Linked DNA regions of Arabidopsis thaliana. The protein of the gene in region 1 interacts with the protein of each later gene in a biochemical or structural test. Each region holds a gene or a part of one and is shown on either strand. Other genes may lie near its edges.

Region 1 (5,523 bases):
TATTTTAATTTCTAAACCCTTAAATGTGTTGGGAAGAATCTTACATGAAATCATCAAATCCATTAGTTTATTAACACTTTTCACTTTTCTCTTCCGTCGAAACTTATCCACAAGTTTTGGATTTTGATGTTTCGTTTTCTTAAAGAGCCATTTGTGAATACTTAAAGTTATAACAACAACATGATTAATATATCGAATATACATATACTTGTAGAGTTAATGAAAGGAAAACACCCCCGACATCTTATAATAAAATGTTATAAAACTAAAAAGTGTACATAAACTACTACTCTGAAACCTTAACACATTAATTTTCCAATAGTTAGAAACTTAGAATAGTTATATGGCCTTATGAGATGTCTACACTAGTTGTTAAATGTCAACACGGATATTGAAATTTCTTGGAACTGATTCTGAATTCGTTTAAGTACTTCGTTTAAGAGCTTGATGCGCAACATAAAGCTCTTATTTGACACGTGTCATGATGTTAATGGTTAAGCTTGACTGCCATATTGGCCTAGACTACCAGATTTGCCACGTGTAATATATGCGGCGAAATTTATTTCATTCTTCGATAAGTTCTTCAACATCCTATGATGTTCAGGCATTCTTAAACCACAATTAACAAAGGCCAGTGGCAGAAATGGATAAATGAGAGAATGACAAGTGGATAGACAAGAGGGCTTGAGAGTGGATGAGGATCAACAAGCCACGTAGACGAGGAGGTGGGCTCTTGGGAAGAGGCAAGGGTCGGTTTACTTCAATAACCACCCTTTCTCAAACTTAGAATAATACTACTATCAGCACTTTTTCTACATCACAAAGGCAAATTTCTTGACCGGTTTTATCACTTTTCCCACGTAGGATCAATAAAAAAAGATAAACATTCGTGACTTCATGAATCATGGGGACAAACATCCTACATGGTACCAAAAGTAAAATACATTACTTGTTTTATTGTCATCCCAAACATTACAAAGGGCCAAAGGCAATATTATTTCTAGATACTTTCAGTGGAAAGTATTAATATATGTGTGTAATGTTGGGAATAAAATATAGTCGACATTGGTGTATCGAAAGGTCCATTTAAAAACATAATATATTGTAATGATCTATAGGTTAGATCCTGTTGGTATATCAGGTTGGGAATAAGAAAATACTTTTGTTATACAATGTATTATAGAATATGTTGTGTTAGGGGGCACTGCGGCTATTTGACAATGTTTGAGGCATATTAGTCCTAGGGAAGTTTATAATAAGCTGCATCACCAAATCCTTTATACATATCTAAGCGTAGTAAGATGAATGTAACTGATCATAGATTTTAACATATGATATGAGCTCTGAATGGAGAAAATATATTTATCTAATTAAATAAAATATGTCATTCGGGTCCAAAAATGATATGCAGACTTAAATTTTCAAACTATTCAAACTAGGAAAATAAAATTGAACTTATCTTCTGGAGATTTTTTTTTTTTTAAATTGTGCTTTGTATATTTATTAGTCCAATATAAACATAAATGAGATAAGTACACATAGGCTTTTTGTTGTTGGGTTTGTTCACATTTGTTAGTTCTTTTTTTCTGTCAAACAGTAGTATATTTTCAGTTTTTCTGCTTCAAATTTTGTAAGCAAGAAGTTCTGTTTCATTTTAGTTTATAAAAATTTATAACAACATGTAACTATATGCTTTTAAAGTAGACTCAAATACTGGGTGTTATCTGTGTATAGATTAAGATACAACTAATTGTATCTGTGTCTTAGTGTCTATATATACGATTATCTATTTATCAAAACGGAAAAACCATAGCCAATTACTTGCATTTGGGTTGGTGTTAAAGACAACCGCAAATTATTTATCAATGAATCATAACTTATCTCAGAGAAATACAGATCTGAGACCCCAAAACTCCTGAATATACAGTTCACTACTTTTATTTCCAATTATTCTGGTTACCAAAAAAACAGAGATTAATTGACATACACGCATCTACAAAGGCGCGTAGGGTAAAACAGAAACAAAAACAAGATATTTATCATAAAAAAATGCCACGTGTTATTAACAAGTAATCAAAAAGGACCAGACTTCGTTGAGCTGTGTCTATAAAATCCAGAGAAGCAATGCCCTCAAGCTTCTCCATCATCAAATTAAAACCCTCCAGCCTCCAACAACAAAATTTACCAACACTCTCTCTTTCTCTTTCTCTCTGAAAACTTAAAACGATGGCTATAACCGCCACTCAAAACGACGGCGTTTCACTAAACGCCAATAAGATTTCGTATGATCTTGTGGAAACTGATGTTGAGATCATCACCTCCGGTCGTCGTAGTATTCCGGCACACTCCGGCATCCTCGTAAGTTTCTTTTCTTCTTACTTTCTTTGTATGATCGAATATTTTTTTATTTTGGTGCTTATCTTTTTTGTTTGTTTAAAATTGTTAAATGCAGGCTTCGGTCTCACCGGTACTGACGAACATCATCGAGAAGCCGAGGAAGATTCACGGCGGATCATCGAAGAAAGTTATTAAGATTCTCGGTGTTCCATGCGACGCCGTTTCAGTCTTCGTCAGATTCCTCTATTCTCCGAGGTTCGTCTTTCTCTCTTTTTCATATCTTCTTGATCGTCAGATTTTTTTTTTTAATCCGTAGATTTATTACTTCAAAAATACAAATCATACTAAAAAGAATGCTTGATTAAATACATCATCTTAAAGATCTTTACCAAACTCGACTTTTCCAACGTTTTAATCATACATTAAAATCACTACAACCAGATTGCGATTGATTTAGACTTGTTTCATATTCAAAAACGTGTGAAACACAACACAAGGAACACGAAACTAGTACCAACATCAAATTTGAATAAATCAACGGCAAATTTTACCCTTAGTATGCAAAATGACTAGAATACCCCTATATGTATCTTTTGTTTAGTGTCACGGAGAATGAGATGGAAAAATACGGAATCCATCTACTGGCTTTATCACACGTGTATATGGTGACTCAGTTAAAGCAACGGTGCACTAAAGGCGTCGGTGAGAGAGTAACCGCCGAAAACGTTGTCGATATTCTCCAGCTGGCTCGTCTCTGCGACGCACCTGACCTCTGTCTCAAGTGTATGCGATTCATTCACTACAAGTTCAAGACCGTTGAACAGACAGAAGGATGGAAGTTTCTTCAAGAACACGATCCTTTTCTTGAACTTGACATTCTCCAATTCATCGACGATGCAGAATCGGTAATTAACTCAAACCACACTTTTTTGTTTTCTTTTTTTTTGGTTCTTCAAGAAAACTCTGTTTTATTGAATTAGGTTTCTTTTGGGTCAATTTCTTGCAGAGGAAGAAAAGAAGAAGGAGACACAGACGAGAACAGAATCTGTATTTGCAGCTGAGTGAAGCCATGGAATGTATAGAACACATATGCACCGAAGGTTGCACACTGGTCGGACCATCGTCTAACTTAGACAACAAGTCAACATGTCAAGCAAAACCCGGTCCATGCAGTGCGTTTTCGACTTGTTACGGACTTCAACTTCTTATACGTCACTTTGCAGTATGCAAGAAAAGAGTCGATGGCAAAGGTTGTGTCCGATGCAAGAGAATGATTCAACTCCTTAGACTCCATTCTTCGATTTGTGACCAATCTGAATCTTGCCGTGTCCCTCTTTGCAGGTAAAAATCCGACATTTTAGAATAATCAAAACCACATTTTAAATGTTTCTAATGATAAAAGTTTTTCACTTTTCGATAGTAGATCTCATTTGATTTTTTTTTAACTTTCGGCGCCAATAATAATTATCTTTTTGTGGTGGTAGCCTACTTATTAGATGATGAGTCGTGATCGGACGGCTGGAAATATTTTGTTTGGTAGAATTATTAAAAGATATTTTAAGAAATGAGAATCTGATCTCGTTGTCAACTTTTTATTTGTTTTGGTGATTGGAGTAGGCAATATAAGAATAGAGGTGAAAAGGACAAGAAAATGGTTGAGGACACGAAGTGGAAGGTTCTGGTGAGAAGAGTAGCGTCTGCTAAAGCCATGTCTTCGTTGTCTCAATCAAAGAAGAAAAAAAGTGAAGTGTTATTTAAAGAAGAAGCAGAAGATTTGATCAGAATCCGGAACAAGTTAATGTGAATATACAATATATGTGTTTTTATTAGATTATATAGTGAGCGATTGTTAGAAGCCATTAATTACTTGAGTCGGAAGGTTTATTTGTTTGTTATTTGTCTCTCGGACTGGTTGATTGGGTTAAACTTGTCAATGAGTAACCCTTTGAATCTGTCGTTTTGTTTGGTCGGTCGAATTATATAGAAATGTATTATTGGTTATAAAATGGTATTAGGGTTTTTGGAGACTTTGTGGCAAAAAGTATACAGATTGATCCGGTTTAAACTAGCTAACGTCAAACGCAAAAGGATTACTGAATCTAAAGTAATGTGACAAGATGGAAACAAAATAATTATTCTCTTTGTAGTTGATTGGTCATGCCAAATTATATGACTAGACCTGGTTGCATATGAATCACAAAAAATCTAAATGAGATTCAAGTTGGATCGGTCTAATCAATCACAATAGCTTCAACCATGCATGATACAAAGGAGAATTTTGATGGAAATAATAGAAATTCAATATTGGAGATCAAAATTGACCAACCGGTCTTAGTCACTGGTATAGTGGAAGGTTGATCATGATTGAGGATTCAAAAGCAAACAAGGCAAATTATTAGAAAAAAACATGTGCTTATAATTAGTTAAAACAGAGATATTTTTATTAAATTCTTCATTCATACTTGGGTTCGACTGGAAAAAGGAAAGACGCGTGGGGGACAGATGAACCACGCAATGTGGTTTCGTGTCGGATGTCAATTACTCTTACATTTCAGTTCATACTTCTTAACTACCAGATGAATGCACTTAATAAAAAAAAAATCAAATACAAGAATTGTTCTTTTGAAATGGAAATGAATATTTTCATGTTATAACACGAGTTTTGACATAAAAAGGTTAAACAACTCGAGCAAGTTCATTCACTAAAGTTTCAACATGAAACTTATTCTAAATTGTTATTTTTACATATTTTGAAGAAAAAAAACAAAAAAGAAGATGACAATATCAACCCGTAAAGCTTTCTGAGTAGTGGAGCAATGCAGTCACCGATGTTTTAATACTAACGACAACAATGATTCTTATCATGACGATAGAGGTGACTAAAGATTCGACCACGTATGAATTAAAGAAAAGAATGTTTACATACGAACGACAAAAAAGATTCTTATCAGGAGTAATGACACAGAATAAGTGAGTGGTGACTAAAGATTTAACCAAAGACTTGGATGAGCTGGAGTAAGCAAAGACTTGGAAGCATCCTGCAGGTTCCGTGGAGGTAAAGAGTCATGGGAGTGATACGATTAATTATGCATTGTTTGATATTTTGACTTGTGAGCGACGATGTGTTCCTGTGATTGAGAATTATATGACCTAGAGATGTTCTAGAGGCTCTCTTGTGTAAACAGT
Region 2 (6,666 bases), on another chromosome or scaffold:
TCTTGGAGATCCTTAACAAGCTCACGTTGCAAGTTCTGCAATCGTGTCTCATTTAATATTTGATCCTGGGAAGCACCATCTTTCAGCCTCTTCACTCCTCCACGGGTATCATAGATATGGCACAGCCTAACAAGCAATTTCAAATAGCAATCTACAGCGTACGTCCTGCCATCACAATCCCATTTGACACAAGGCCTACAAACTTCCACAACCTCAAGGGCTGGTTCTGTCCAGTTCAGAGCACCATAACCAGTACCATATGCTAACGCACCAATCACTCTGCTCTCCATACCCGAGTTTTTTTGTTCAGGCAAAGGTAGAGACAACTGGAAGCAGCTTTCCACAAGCATTGCCACCAGCTCTTCCCGAAATAAGCTCTTACTGGTAACACTATTGAGATCATCTTTAATCCTTGCATCTTCAAAGAGAGAAATAATATCTGTCCCAGGCAGAGGCTTCTGACCTCTTCGGGCACTTTCTCTGGCAAAAAGGTGAACACAGAGAGCTGTCCGACAGATACAGGCTAATGCGTGCATCCTGTCCGATTCTGCTCTCAAGTTTCTCACCATAAGCAGCAGTCTTCTAAACAACGAAACCTTCGTAACAAATTCCAAAAAGAATGATTCAGAAATCATAGGCCACAGCTTCAAGACAAAGGTACACAACTAACCGAGCTTAAATGAAGTAAAAAACGACATACCTGCATATGCAGATCAAGCAAGTGCAGGTTCGTAACAACGGCCCTGACTATACTCTCTCTAGCAGAGGAAAATTCTTGGCGGTCCCAGAGTGTTAAAATTGCAATAATGGACTGTGAAGCCCACTCTGGCTTGCCTCCGGCAACATCTGCCAGGTAGAGCATGTTAATTCCCACTTCAAAAATCAAAGCTGGATCCAAAGAGGAAGCCAAGAATGGCGCCAAATGGGTAACCAAATCTGAGACGCCAACCAGCTTCTCGGCGTTGGAGTCCACAACGGTGGCATTAGCTGCAGCAGCAGCAGAGGAAGCCTTGGAAAGCTGTCTAATCACTTCGACACTACCGGAAGCAACAGCTTTGACAGCAAAGACAAGAGGGAAAACAGTGGCTCTGAAGGTTTCGACAGGAAGGACTAAAGACCTAGCCATCAAAGCGCTCCTCTTTCTCCATACAATGTCAACCATGGAAGAGACCCACTTGGACCTGATGGCGAGGGAGTTCTCGCTGTCAACGAGCTTATCGCCAGCAAGACGGCTCATCCGCTTGGAGTCGAACTCCTGGAAGAGTCTGCCGACGGACTCAAAGGCAACCTTGGAGACGGCGTCGGATTTGTCGAGCATGTTCTGGCCGATCCGAGCCCACCAGTTGGAGACCTTGTCGAGGAGACCCACATTGTTCTCGCACAAAGTAACGAGATCATCACGCGCGAGGATGCAGCCAAGTGTCTCGGTGATGGAAAAACGAAGGTTGTCAGATGGAGAATCGAAGCAGGAAGCAATCTCAGAGCTGCAATCAGAGATGAGTTTAGGAAGCGAGAAGGCAGGGAGAGCCGCAAGGATGGAGACGGCAGCGGCGGTAACATCCGGGTCCGGAAAATGAAGATCCGTTTTGACACCTGAGCAAACGGTGTCCCAAAGATCCGGAGTGAGGCGGGTAGATCGGATGAGATCGAATGCCAGCTTCTTACAAACAGCTGAAGCCGGAGAAGCAACAATCTCCTCCACAGCAGACTTAGCGATCACAGAGATATCTCTTCCGGCGGCGGATTGCTGCAGCGCCTGAAGAAGCGCCGATGACTGGCGAAGCGCGTCATTTGAACGGAGGTCCGCCTGGATCTGAGCAAAAAGAATGTCCATAACCGGATCGAATTAACTGAAATTCGAGATCCAAAATCTGAGCTAACTAGCTTCGCTGTCAATCTGTGTACGTATGCGACATGGAACTGGAAGAAGAAGGATGTGTAAATCAAACCATCAATTGAAGAAGAAGGAGAAGAAATTGTTTTCGAAGGAAAAAAGCGCGTGCCGTTCCTGCGATTCGAGCTTTCACAGCGTGCCGTGTTGAGTCATCCGTAGACCCAATAAAGGCACATTAAAAAGTTCATTGGGCTTTACATTATAAGCCCAGGATATTATTTTTATGCACCGAAGTATTTGCATTCGATTTTAATTCGAGGGATCAGATCCGACGGTCCAGATTGAGTCCTGCCCAGTAGCAAAACGGCGTTAGACGCAGCATTCGTTAGGGACGGGACACTAGAGAAGGGAGGGCAGAGAGCGATTTTGTTCTCTCTCTACTTCTCGGTCGTCTTCTTCGTCTCCACTCTAGGGTTTTACTCTATCTTCTTCTTCATCATCATCTTCTACACCAATCTCTAGCGTTAATCTGTTTCTGCTGGAGAAGATTTACGCTTGTTCCTCGGTTCTCTTACTTCTGCTCCGGTTCGATCGCTTGCTAAGTGTTTCGAGTTGGTTAGTTCCGAATTTCCTTTTTTATGCATATTGAGTGTTCACTGCTCTCCTCCAGCAATACTATAGGGCTCTAAGAATTGAATTGCTTTCAGGTTTTCATAGTTAGGGTTTCTCAAAACTGACTTAAATATTTTGATTTGTGCAGGTTCGCACTTCGGTGGGCGATATCATGACTGTGAGGAACGGTGGTTTCCCAGGAGATTATAATCGTAACAGTTTTGACTCTCCCGGCGGCTGTGATGATAGCCCCAATGCTTCCAAGGATGATGAAACTTTTGGTGTCCCGAGAATAGTTTTACCCTTGTCTGACTTGTCATCATCAGAAAGGAGAAAGTGGATTCATACGCTTCGTCAGGAGCTGGAACAACTACGGTCCTTTCAGAAGAGTGTTGGGGACCTTCTTCCTATATCTAAGATTGTTACTAGTACACCTGCAAGTAATGTGTCTCGCCCCAAGAGTTTTGGAATGTCACGATGCTCTACTGGCCCTGGAAAAAGGGTGCTCCCCTTCACAGCAACCAAACCAGAGCCAGTCACCACTTCCACTATGCTTCGGATGAAGCAATGTGAGAGCCTCCTTAAACGATTGATGTCGCAGCAGCATTGTTGGCTCTTTAATACCCCTGTGGACGTCGTCAAGCTCAACATTCCTGATTATTTCACCATTATCAAACATCCTATGGATTTAGGAACTGTTAAAAGCAAGTTAACTTCCGGCACGTATTCAAGCCCTTCAGAGTTTTCTGCTGATGTCCGTCTTACTTTCCGCAATGCTATGACTTATAACCCGTCAGATAATAATGTGTATCGCTTCGCTGATACTCTCAGCAAGTTTTTTGAAGTGAGATGGAAAACTATCGAGAAGAAGTCATCCGGAACCAAATCTGAACCAAGTAACTTGGCTACTCTTGCTCACAAAGATATTGCGATACCTGAGCCTGTGGCTAAGAAGAGAAAGATGAATGCTGTGAAACGTAACAGCCTCTTAGAGCCTGCTAAGCGGGTTATGACAGATGAGGATAGAGTAAAGCTTGGCAGAGATTTGGGGTCCTTGACAGAATTCCCTGTACAGATAATAAATTTCCTGAGAGATCACAGCTCCAAGGAAGAGAGATCTGGAGATGATGAGATAGAGATTGACATCAATGATCTCAGTCATGATGCCTTGTTCCAGTTGCGGGATCTCTTTGATGAGTTTCTGCGAGAAAATCAAAAGAAAGATTCAAACGGTGAACCCTGTGTGTTAGAGGTAATCACCTTTCTATATCTCATTCTTGATCCATTTGTTAACATGACTGATAAACAGCGAAAACTTTCTTGATGTAGCTTTTACATGGGTCAGGGCCAGGAAATTCATTGACGCAACACTGTGATGGTTAGCATACACTGGTTTTGTTGTTTGAGCTAATTCGCATGTCCTACTCTATGATTAAGCTGTCATTTCCTCCTCGTTACTTGCAGGGAGTGAATTGGAGGACGAGGATGTTGACATTGGTAATTATGAGCACCCTATATCTCACATCTCAACTGTCAGAACAGAAAAAGGTATGGCGTTAGAGAACTACAGTGGTTTGTTTAATCTTGCTACATTGTATTTGTCTTTTTCTCTATGGAGCTTTTGCAGACGTTTGATGTTTGCAATTCTTATATGTACTTAACCCTCGGAACCATTTTACTTCCCTCTTGTCAGAAGTGGCCGTCCATCTAGAATACTCAATGTTACTTCTGTAGTTTTTTTGGAGTGAAACTTACTGACCTTACTGATAGCAACTCATATTACACACCTAGTATGATAGTGATAGACCTGTTACATTTTCTGCTTGTTTTACTCCCAGGTCGCTGTTTGCTATTTTCTATAGTGATCATATTATCTCTAATCAGTGATTACTCCTCTTTTGGTGCAAAAGATGTTAAGTTTTGTTGATATTAATTAATAAACCTTGGTTTTCTTATTCCCTTTCTAAAAGCAGATTCCGTCGGTGGATTGAATCAGATGGAAGATGCATCCAGAGGGAAGCTAAGTCTTATTGAGGGGGCAGATGGTCATCAAGATGGTAAGCTCAGAAGTGTAGCAGAAAAATATCTGTGCTCTAATATCTGAGGGTGGCATCTCACTCTTGACCCATTAATAATTTAGGAAATAGTGCTCCAAAAGAGAAGGAACTACCTCCAGAAAAGCGTTACAGGGCTGCTCTATTGAAAAATCGATTTGCGGATATAATCTTGAAGGCTCAAGAGATAACTCTTAATCAGGTTAGCTGTGTTTGTGGAGGTGTGAGCTGTTATATCTGGTTAGCCCTCCCTCTTTGACTTTCAAAATTATATTTGTGAGATCAGAATGAGAAACGAGACCCAGAGACACTGCAACGTGAGAAGGAAGAACTGGAATTGCAAAAGAAGAAAGGTATTCTTGATTTGCTAGTTTCGATTTTTTGATTGATGATATATACCAAGTAGTATATACGTACATAAACTTGTCCTCTTATTGTTTTGTGCACCAGAAAAAGCACGGTTACAAGCAGAAGCCAAGGAAGCTGAAGAAGCTCGTAGAAAAGCTGAGGCACAAGAGGCTAAGAGGAAACTGGAACTTGAAAGAGAAGCAGCCCGGCAGGCATTGCTTGAGGTAAATCAAAATTGCTGCCTTGTACCAGTTTGGTTTTATAAACTGCAATACATGTATATTGATCATTGCCATGACTGAATGGTACACCAGATGGAGAAGTCGGTTGAAATAAATGAGAACACAAGGTTTCTCAAGGACCTAGAACTGCTCAAAACGGTTAACACGGACCAGTTACGAAATCTAAGAGATGTTGGCTCTGAGTCTGATGGGTTGGCTGTATTTGGGTTTGGAGGAAGTAATCCTCTAGAGCAGCTGGGGCTATTTATGAAACATGAGGAGGATGAAGATGAATCCGACATGCTTGCGTTTCCAGATCCCGGCAATGAAGTAGAAGAGGGTGAAATCGACTGAGATTCATGAGTGTTGTGTCTTGGATAACAGCAGTCAAGTGTACATGAGTTGTTGTAAAAAATGATAGTTAGATTGATATTTAACCAATGCGATGGCATTTTATCCGAGTAAACAATCAATAACACTTTGTGTAGTGAGTAAAATTTTGGTTAATTCAATAAACCAATGACCGACAGCACCGAGAGAGAGAGGGAGCATGTCTCAGAGTTAATTCTATAGATTTACACTCGAGTTTGGTAATAGAGCCTCTAGACTCTAGTACCAGCGAAATTGTTGCGTCCAACCAATTTATGTTACCTACAAGGCAATCGTCAGTGTTTAGGTAAGTTGCATCTTGAATTAGGTAGAGTGCCCTTTTGAATATTATAGATTAGTTTGGCCAGTCCCCCAATAGGTGCTATGATCATCAGCACAAGCCCAAAAATGATGCAAAACTGCTCCAAAAAAAAAGATTTAACTTAGCTGTAAGTGTCATATTTAGCTTTTGATCTGAGGACTACAAACATCTTACCCAGTTCATACACCATGAGAGACTAAATCTCTTTGGTTTCTTTAGGATCAGCCACATGATGCATGGGATCTGAAAGATAACATATCATTATGTTTGTTAGAGTTATTAACATGTTGATTGAAGTTTGATGATATCAAGAGCAGTTTAAGAGTAGAGTATTCGCGCTTACAAAGTATGTGGTCGGGGCGAACACAAATCCCCCAAAAAATGACAGCAATGCGCTGTAATACGGTAAACCGACCGCTATTCCCATCGTGGCGGCTGCGATATAGAGGTAAGTTAATCAATCATCAAAATGCTACTCCTCTGAAAAGAATGTGAATTTAGTTTCTTTGGTTTGCAAAAATCACAGAGACTTACCCACAAAAGTCCATCGGATGGTAAACCGTAGAACTCTTGTTGGACTGAAGTGCCATATCCTTATCATTACAGATTCGATCATGTCAAACACGGGCATCGCATACACCTAGGAGGACAAAGCAGATCAGTTAAGGCGGGGAACTACAAGTTTTTTTTTGCTTCTAATGAGAGGCGTTTTCTGGTGTACCTGGTAGCTTCCCAAGAGATGTATGACCACAAACATGTTGGCCACAATGACAAGTGCCGTTGGTTTTGTTAGTGATTCGAGGATGCTCTCTTCAACACTGTTTCCAAAGGTCTTGAAACCTACAAGTGCCACAGGGAAGTAGCAGAAAGCTACAATGATATAGGCTACAACCGCTCCCTTCCACA
Region 3 (6,111 bases), on another chromosome or scaffold:
ACATCCACTTATACATAACTAACAATGGAGATCAAAATGAAGGGCAAAACAAGTGAATATTGTACCAGCATTGGTAAGGGCATGAAGGAGATTAGCTTTCTGTTTGAGCTTGAGACCAGCTTCGAAGTAATCGTGTTGGTCAAGCTCGGACTCAGCGCACGTACCGTGTTTCTCCCACTCATGTGTCCAAAACTTCATACCATCATTGCTCGGACACGACAACGTTGGCCATTCTCTTTGTAAATCGCTCATCAGATCAGAAACCTTTATAAAAGTTTTCGATTCTCATTAGTTATTTACGATTCTTTTCTTGTGGTTAATAATTTCCGAAGTCCCAAAATACAAAAACTATTGTGTTATAAGTTAAAAACAAACCCGTAAATCATCAAATCGACTGTCAGGATTACAATTTTGCGGCCATCCACCGGTTTTGTAGTTAGGCCAAAGACCGTGAATTCCAAAATCTGCAGCTGGTTTACCGGTTTGTGGATAGCAACAACTATGTCTTGAATCACAATACGCTCCAGGCCACTGCATTGCAACGCACATACACAAACATAAAATTTCAAAGTACAATGATAATTCTTGTAGAGACATTTATCGACTTTAATTACCTGTAAAACGAAGTAGAAGAAATCGAAATCTTGGGCGAAACTTTGTACGTAGAGTTGTTGTAACGCTAGAATAAAAATGAAGAATTTCATTTCCTCAAGATATCAAATAATTTGTGGGAATCAAATTTGTCGAAAACCAATGAAGGATGGATGATAGATAAATAGTTTAGAATATGTTTATATAAGTCATATAACGTGAAGTGTGATATTTTGTTTTGGGTAGAGAGACGTGACGTGTGATTGGTATATGTTTGCTTAATTGTGTTAGGTTAGTATTTCGTGCAAGCATTTTATTTTCAGCTCCAATGCTTTAAAAAGTAATAACGTAAGGCAAACTTTTCATCATGCTTCAACTACAAAATTATGAGTATTTTGTAGCTCCAATTAACGTAACGTAAGGCAAACTTTCCAGCTCCAATGTTTTAGAGCTAGCCGAATATTATGTGTCTCAGTATTTATAAAATTATGAGTATTCGATTGGAAAAATAAATAAAGAAACTCTTATAGTATTCACTTAAAGACCTTTGTTTCTTAAATTTTAAATATTTAAATCCACTTAAAGATCCTTGTTTCTCATAAAGTGTTAAAGACCCATAAAGGCATAAATCAAACCATTGTCCCGTCTCGGAAACGTACGTCAAGTTTCTTGATGAGGCGCATGTTGGCTACTTGGTTCTACTTCTACAGTTACAGACTCCAGTGTGTACCGTATTCTATCAAGTTCTGCATTTATGCAAGAACCTTAGGTATCACAAATATTTGGGGGCAATAAAATTATAAAAATTCCTTACAGTGCAGCGATTTATGTCACATTTTCAGCCAAGAGGTTGTGTGTTCGAGTTCCCTCAACTACTTCTGCTAATTTTTTTATTAAAAAAAAAAAACTTTAGACCGCCCATAACTTTGAGCCGGCAATGATCCTACCTCACAATCATACTAAAATCTACCAATGATCCTTACCATGTTTTGGCGCTTGAGGTGGATACGAATAATCCACTAGTTGGGTTAACCTTATAGGGAAGGTGAAGATTGTTATAAAGTTTGTAGATTATACAATGAAAAGTAAGAAGATAGGTCCAAGTCAAAGTTTGTATGATTAAAACAAGAAAGATGGTATATACCATGCGTTGCTTTCCAGAAAATGGCTTCAAGAAAGCAAAGACAAAGAATATCATCATGAGCTTGACCAGGGATAAGGAAGAAGATCCATTGACGTGTTTACAACGACAAAAACTAGTTAGAAGTTAGAACATAGTGTCGCTGAAGTTGTGGAGGAAATGCATTTTTTAAACAGATGCATAGAGACGATTGAATATGGCATCGAAACAGTGAATGCAAGCAACAAAGGTTGGTAAACTGGTGAAGAGAAAGGTAACAGACGATATAACTTTTTTTGTGAATGAATTAAAAGGGATTTTTTTTTTTCGTCAAGAAGCTGAAATTTCATTAAACCGAAACTTAAACCGATACATAAGTTGGTACAATAAGTGCATAATTTAATGCAGATTTTGCATATGCATATGCACAACCGTTTTTTTCTCTAAAAATGAAGTGAAAAGAAATTTGATCGAAATTAAACGAAAGAGCAAGAACATCTTGGAAAATCACGTAGAGATTCTTTGGGAAGGATTCTGAGTTGATAGCTTTGATCAGCGTTTGCAAATCTGAAGCGAAGGTGACTTCCTAAAACCGAGTTCTAAGGCATTTTGTTGGGCTAGATGAAGCGCCATGGCTTCTGCCAAAAGAGGAGAAGCAACATTCGCCACTCTAAGGGATTCAAAGCCTCTTTATGAAATAGAAGTTGACATATTTTTAGTTCAATTAAATGAAATGACCGACGTGCCAATTTGTCATATCCACATAAGTATAAAAGCTAACTAAACCTCCAATGTCAAAAAAAAAAAAATAACTGGCTTCGACTAGGGATCGATCCTTGGACTTCGATATTTCACAATTCTTTGTAACCAATATACCAAAGGACGAGAATGTGACAACCGCGACTTTAATTTAATAAATACGTTATAGTTTGGAAACCACCAGCAGAGACGGAGAGTCCACTTTTATTTCTTCCGCTCCGTTTGGTCTGTCCTCTTCTTCTTCTCCACCTTCGAAATCTATCTTCTCCGATACCTCTCTATCTATATCTCTTCGACGCTGCAAATTAGCCTTAAGCTTCTTTCTCCTTTAAACTTTTCGATTATTATTCCATTTCCTATCTTTTTGTTTCCCCCAAATCTTTTCACGGAAGCAAAGAATACAATTCCAAACCCTAATCCCGATCATCCGTCTTTCCTCTCCGGTCAGTCTTCCGATTTCCTCGATCCACCTGATTTTCATTATGATTATACATATATACTTTCTTCTCGCTCGTCAATTTTTTCGTTGCTGTGTGAATTTAGATTGATTTGTTTTGGATTCAGGTTTCAAAATATGAGTAATCAGAAGAAGAGGAATTTTCAGATAGAGGCGTTTAAGCATCGAGTCGTTGTGGATCCCAAATACGCTGATAAAACTTGGCAGATTCTTGAGCGTGCGATCCATCAGATTTACAATCAAGATGCTAGCGGTCTCAGTTTCGAAGAACTTTACAGGTCAATTTCTTTCATTCTCTTGCCTTTCTTTGAATCCTGTAGAAACTGGTAATGTTTCTGGAACTTAGCTAGGTTTCGTGTTAATGGAATTATTTGTGTATATTGTGGCTCAGAAATGCGTACAACATGGTCCTGCACAAGTTTGGTGAGAAGCTATATACTGGGTTTATTGCTACTATGACTTCTCATCTCAAAGAAAAATCCAAGCTTATCGAGGCAGCTCAGGGAGGGTCGTTTCTAGAAGAGCTTAATAAGAAATGGAATGAGCACAACAAAGCGTTAGAGATGATTCGAGACATTCTCATGTATATGGATAGGACTTATATTGAGAGCACCAAAAAGACTCATGTTCATCCGATGGGGCTTAACTTGTGGAGGGATAATGTTGTGCATTTCACTAAGATACATACAAGGCTTCTAAACACTCTTCTTGATCTAGTGCAGAAGGAACGGATAGGTGAAGTTATTGATAGGGGGTTGATGAGGAATGTCATTAAGATGTTTATGGATTTGGGTGAATCTGTGTATCAGGAGGATTTTGAGAAGCCGTTTTTGGATGCGTCTTCTGAGTTTTATAAGGTTGAGTCTCAGGAGTTTATTGAATCTTGTGATTGTGGGGACTATCTGAAGAAATCAGAGAAACGCCTTACTGAAGAGATAGAGAGGGTAGCGCACTACTTAGATGCCAAGAGCGAAGAGAAGATTACTAGTGTGGTTGAGAAAGAGATGATTGCCAACCACATGCAGAGACTGGTTCACATGGAGAACTCAGGTCTGGTTAATATGCTTCTGAATGACAAGTATGAGGATTTGGGTAGAATGTACAACTTGTTTCGCAGGGTTACTAATGGTCTTGTTACTGTCAGAGACGTTATGACTTCGCATCTTAGGGAGATGGGAAAACAACTGGTTACTGATCCGGAAAAGTCAAAGGATCCGGTGGAATTTGTACAACGTCTATTGGATGAGCGGGATAAATATGACAAAATCATCAACACCGCATTTGGCAATGATAAAACCTTTCAGAATGCCCTGAATTCTTCATTCGAGTATTTCATCAACTTGAATGCTCGTTCTCCTGAGTTTATCTCCCTGTTTGTTGATGACAAGCTACGGAAAGGACTTAAGGGTATCACCGATGTGGATGTTGAGGTTATCCTTGATAAAGTGATGATGCTGTTCCGTTATTTACAAGAGAAAGATGTCTTTGAGAAGTACTACAAGCAGCATTTGGCTAAAAGGCTTCTCTCAGGCAAAACTGTGTCAGATGACGCAGAAAGGAGTTTAATAGTGAAACTAAAGACAGAATGTGGCTATCAGTTCACTTCAAAATTGGAAGGCATGTTCACTGACATGAAGACTTCAGAGGACACAATGCGTGGGTTTTATGGCAGTCACCCCGAGCTTTCAGAAGGACCTACACTTATTGTTCAGGTACTTACAACTGGTTCTTGGCCAACACAGCCTGCAGTACCTTGTAATCTCCCAGCTGAAGTTTCAGTTCTCTGTGAGAAGTTCCGTTCTTACTACCTTGGGACACATACCGGTAGAAGATTGTCCTGGCAAACAAACATGGGCACAGCAGATATCAAAGCCATCTTTGGAAAGGGTCAGAAACATGAACTGAACGTGTCGACTTTCCAGATGTGTGTTCTCATGTTGTTCAACAATTCTGATCGACTCAGCTACAAAGAGATCGAACAGGCTACAGAAATCCCGGCAGCAGATCTTAAACGCTGTTTGCAGTCGCTAGCTTGTGTAAAGGGCAAAAACGTGATAAAGAAAGAACCCATGAGCAAAGACATAGGAGAGGAGGATTTGTTCGTTGTGAACGACAAGTTCACTAGCAAGTTTTACAAAGTGAAGATCGGAACTGTGGTTGCCCAAAAGGAAACAGAACCGGAGAAGCAAGAGACGAGACAGAGAGTGGAGGAAGACAGAAAACCTCAGATTGAAGCAGCCATCGTAAGGATCATGAAGTCCAGGAAAATACTAGACCACAACAACATAATCGCCGAGGTGACGAAACAGTTGCAGCCACGGTTCCTAGCTAATCCCACGGAGATAAAGAAGAGAATCGAGTCGCTCATTGAACGAGATTTCTTGGAAAGGGATAGTACAGACCGGAAACTTTACCGCTATCTAGCCTAAATAAGTTGAATACCACAACCCAAAAAAAAAAGGCTTTACTCTGTTTCTTTCTTTGCTTTATTTCCTTATGTTTGATGTAAAATCTTTTGAACTGTACGGTAGTCGGTAAGAACGAACCAACACAGCGTCACTACCGGTTTAATCGAATATACATTTGTTTCCTTTTCTTTTGTCTTTCATCAGATACCGTATGTGATTTCAGCTTCTGGACACGTTGGGCCGGCTCGAGGCCTTTTAAGGCCCATTTTAAACGGTTAAGAGCCAAAAAAAACATTCGCGGCTAAAATTTCAACCAGGCGTAAAAAAATCCCGCCAAACGTTGGCAACGCTTTGTTTATAGCGTTTTCATAGCCTAATCGGTTCCATTGACATTTCTAGGGGAAAAAATCTCTCACAGTGTCTGACTTTGGTTCTTTGTCTTGTAACAATCGCCGGAAAATTAAGGATATGGATATCTCCGACATAGGTAGGAAACTTAGTCTCGATAACAACAAGCTTTTAATCAGAAAAGCTGCAGAGATCCGCCGTCTTTGCGATGCTCAGTTCGATTCATCCATCATCGGCGTTGTAAGATAAATCCGATTCTGAATCCCAAAGTTTCACATCGAGTACTTTGATTATAATTTTTCCTTATGTGTTGAGAATTTGATTTTTCTATCAGGGTGAGATCTGTAAAGCTGTGATTTGTCTAGAAATCGCCGCCACTAGGTAAATAATTATCGTAATTGATTTATAACGATTTCAATATCCATAGT

Evidence for each region.
Region 2: the proteins of BT1 (region 1) and BET10 form a complex in vitro, tested with the Arabidopsis thaliana proteins (one study listed by BioGRID).
Region 3: the proteins of BT1 (region 1) and CUL3 form a complex in vitro, tested with the Arabidopsis thaliana proteins (one study listed by BioGRID).

The regions. Positions count from the first base shown.
Region 1 is NC_003076.8:25,332,103-25,337,625, reverse strand, and holds BT1 (BTB and TAZ domain protein 1), read left to right. Parts: upstream 1-2,055; 5' UTR 2,056-2,226; coding exon 2,227-2,358; intron 2,359-2,452; coding exon 2,453-2,592; exon of another isoform or gene 2,593-2,921; coding exon of another isoform or gene 2,922-2,938; coding exon 2,939-3,242; intron 3,243-3,343; coding exon 3,344-3,678; coding exon of another isoform or gene 3,679-3,682; exon of another isoform or gene 3,683-3,954; coding exon 3,955-4,141; 3' UTR 4,142-4,454; downstream 4,455-5,523. UniProt on the Arabidopsis thaliana protein: May act as a substrate-specific adapter of an E3 ubiquitin-protein ligase complex (CUL3-RBX1-BTB) which mediates the ubiquitination and subsequent proteasomal degradation of target proteins. Also targeted for degradation by the 26S proteasome pathway.
Region 2 is NC_003074.8:274,339-281,004, reverse strand, and holds BET10 (bromodomain and extraterminal domain protein 10), read left to right. Parts: upstream 1-2,163; 5' UTR 2,164-2,449; intron 2,450-2,594; 5' UTR 2,595-2,618; coding exon 2,619-3,698; intron 3,699-3,775; coding exon 3,776-3,824; intron 3,825-3,910; coding exon 3,911-3,994; intron 3,995-4,419; coding exon 4,420-4,503; intron 4,504-4,586; coding exon 4,587-4,702; coding exon of another isoform or gene 4,703-4,759; exon of another isoform or gene 4,760-4,786; coding exon 4,787-4,853; intron 4,854-4,950; coding exon 4,951-5,072; intron 5,073-5,162; coding exon 5,163-5,423; 3' UTR 5,424-5,672; downstream 5,673-6,666. Other genes in the region: TPLATE (ARM repeat superfamily protein), read right to left, coding at 1-596, 701-1,834; AT3G01760 (Transmembrane amino acid transporter family protein), read right to left, coding at 5,735-5,857, 5,935-6,003, 6,104-6,195, 6,295-6,400, 6,482-6,666.
Region 3 is NC_003070.9:9,293,019-9,299,129, forward strand, and holds CUL3 (cullin 3), read left to right. Parts: upstream 1-2,546; 5' UTR 2,547-2,913; intron 2,914-3,034; 5' UTR 3,035-3,044; coding exon 3,045-3,205; intron 3,206-3,318; coding exon 3,319-5,356; 3' UTR 5,357-5,611; downstream 5,612-6,111. Other genes in the region: RNS3 (ribonuclease 3), read right to left, coding at 66-264, 376-531, 615-704; ORC6 (origin recognition complex protein 6), read left to right, coding at 5,804-5,923, 6,018-6,064. UniProt on the Arabidopsis thaliana protein: Component of the cullin-RING ubiquitin ligases (CRL), or CUL3-RBX1-BTB protein E3 ligase complexes which mediate the ubiquitination and subsequent proteasomal degradation of target proteins.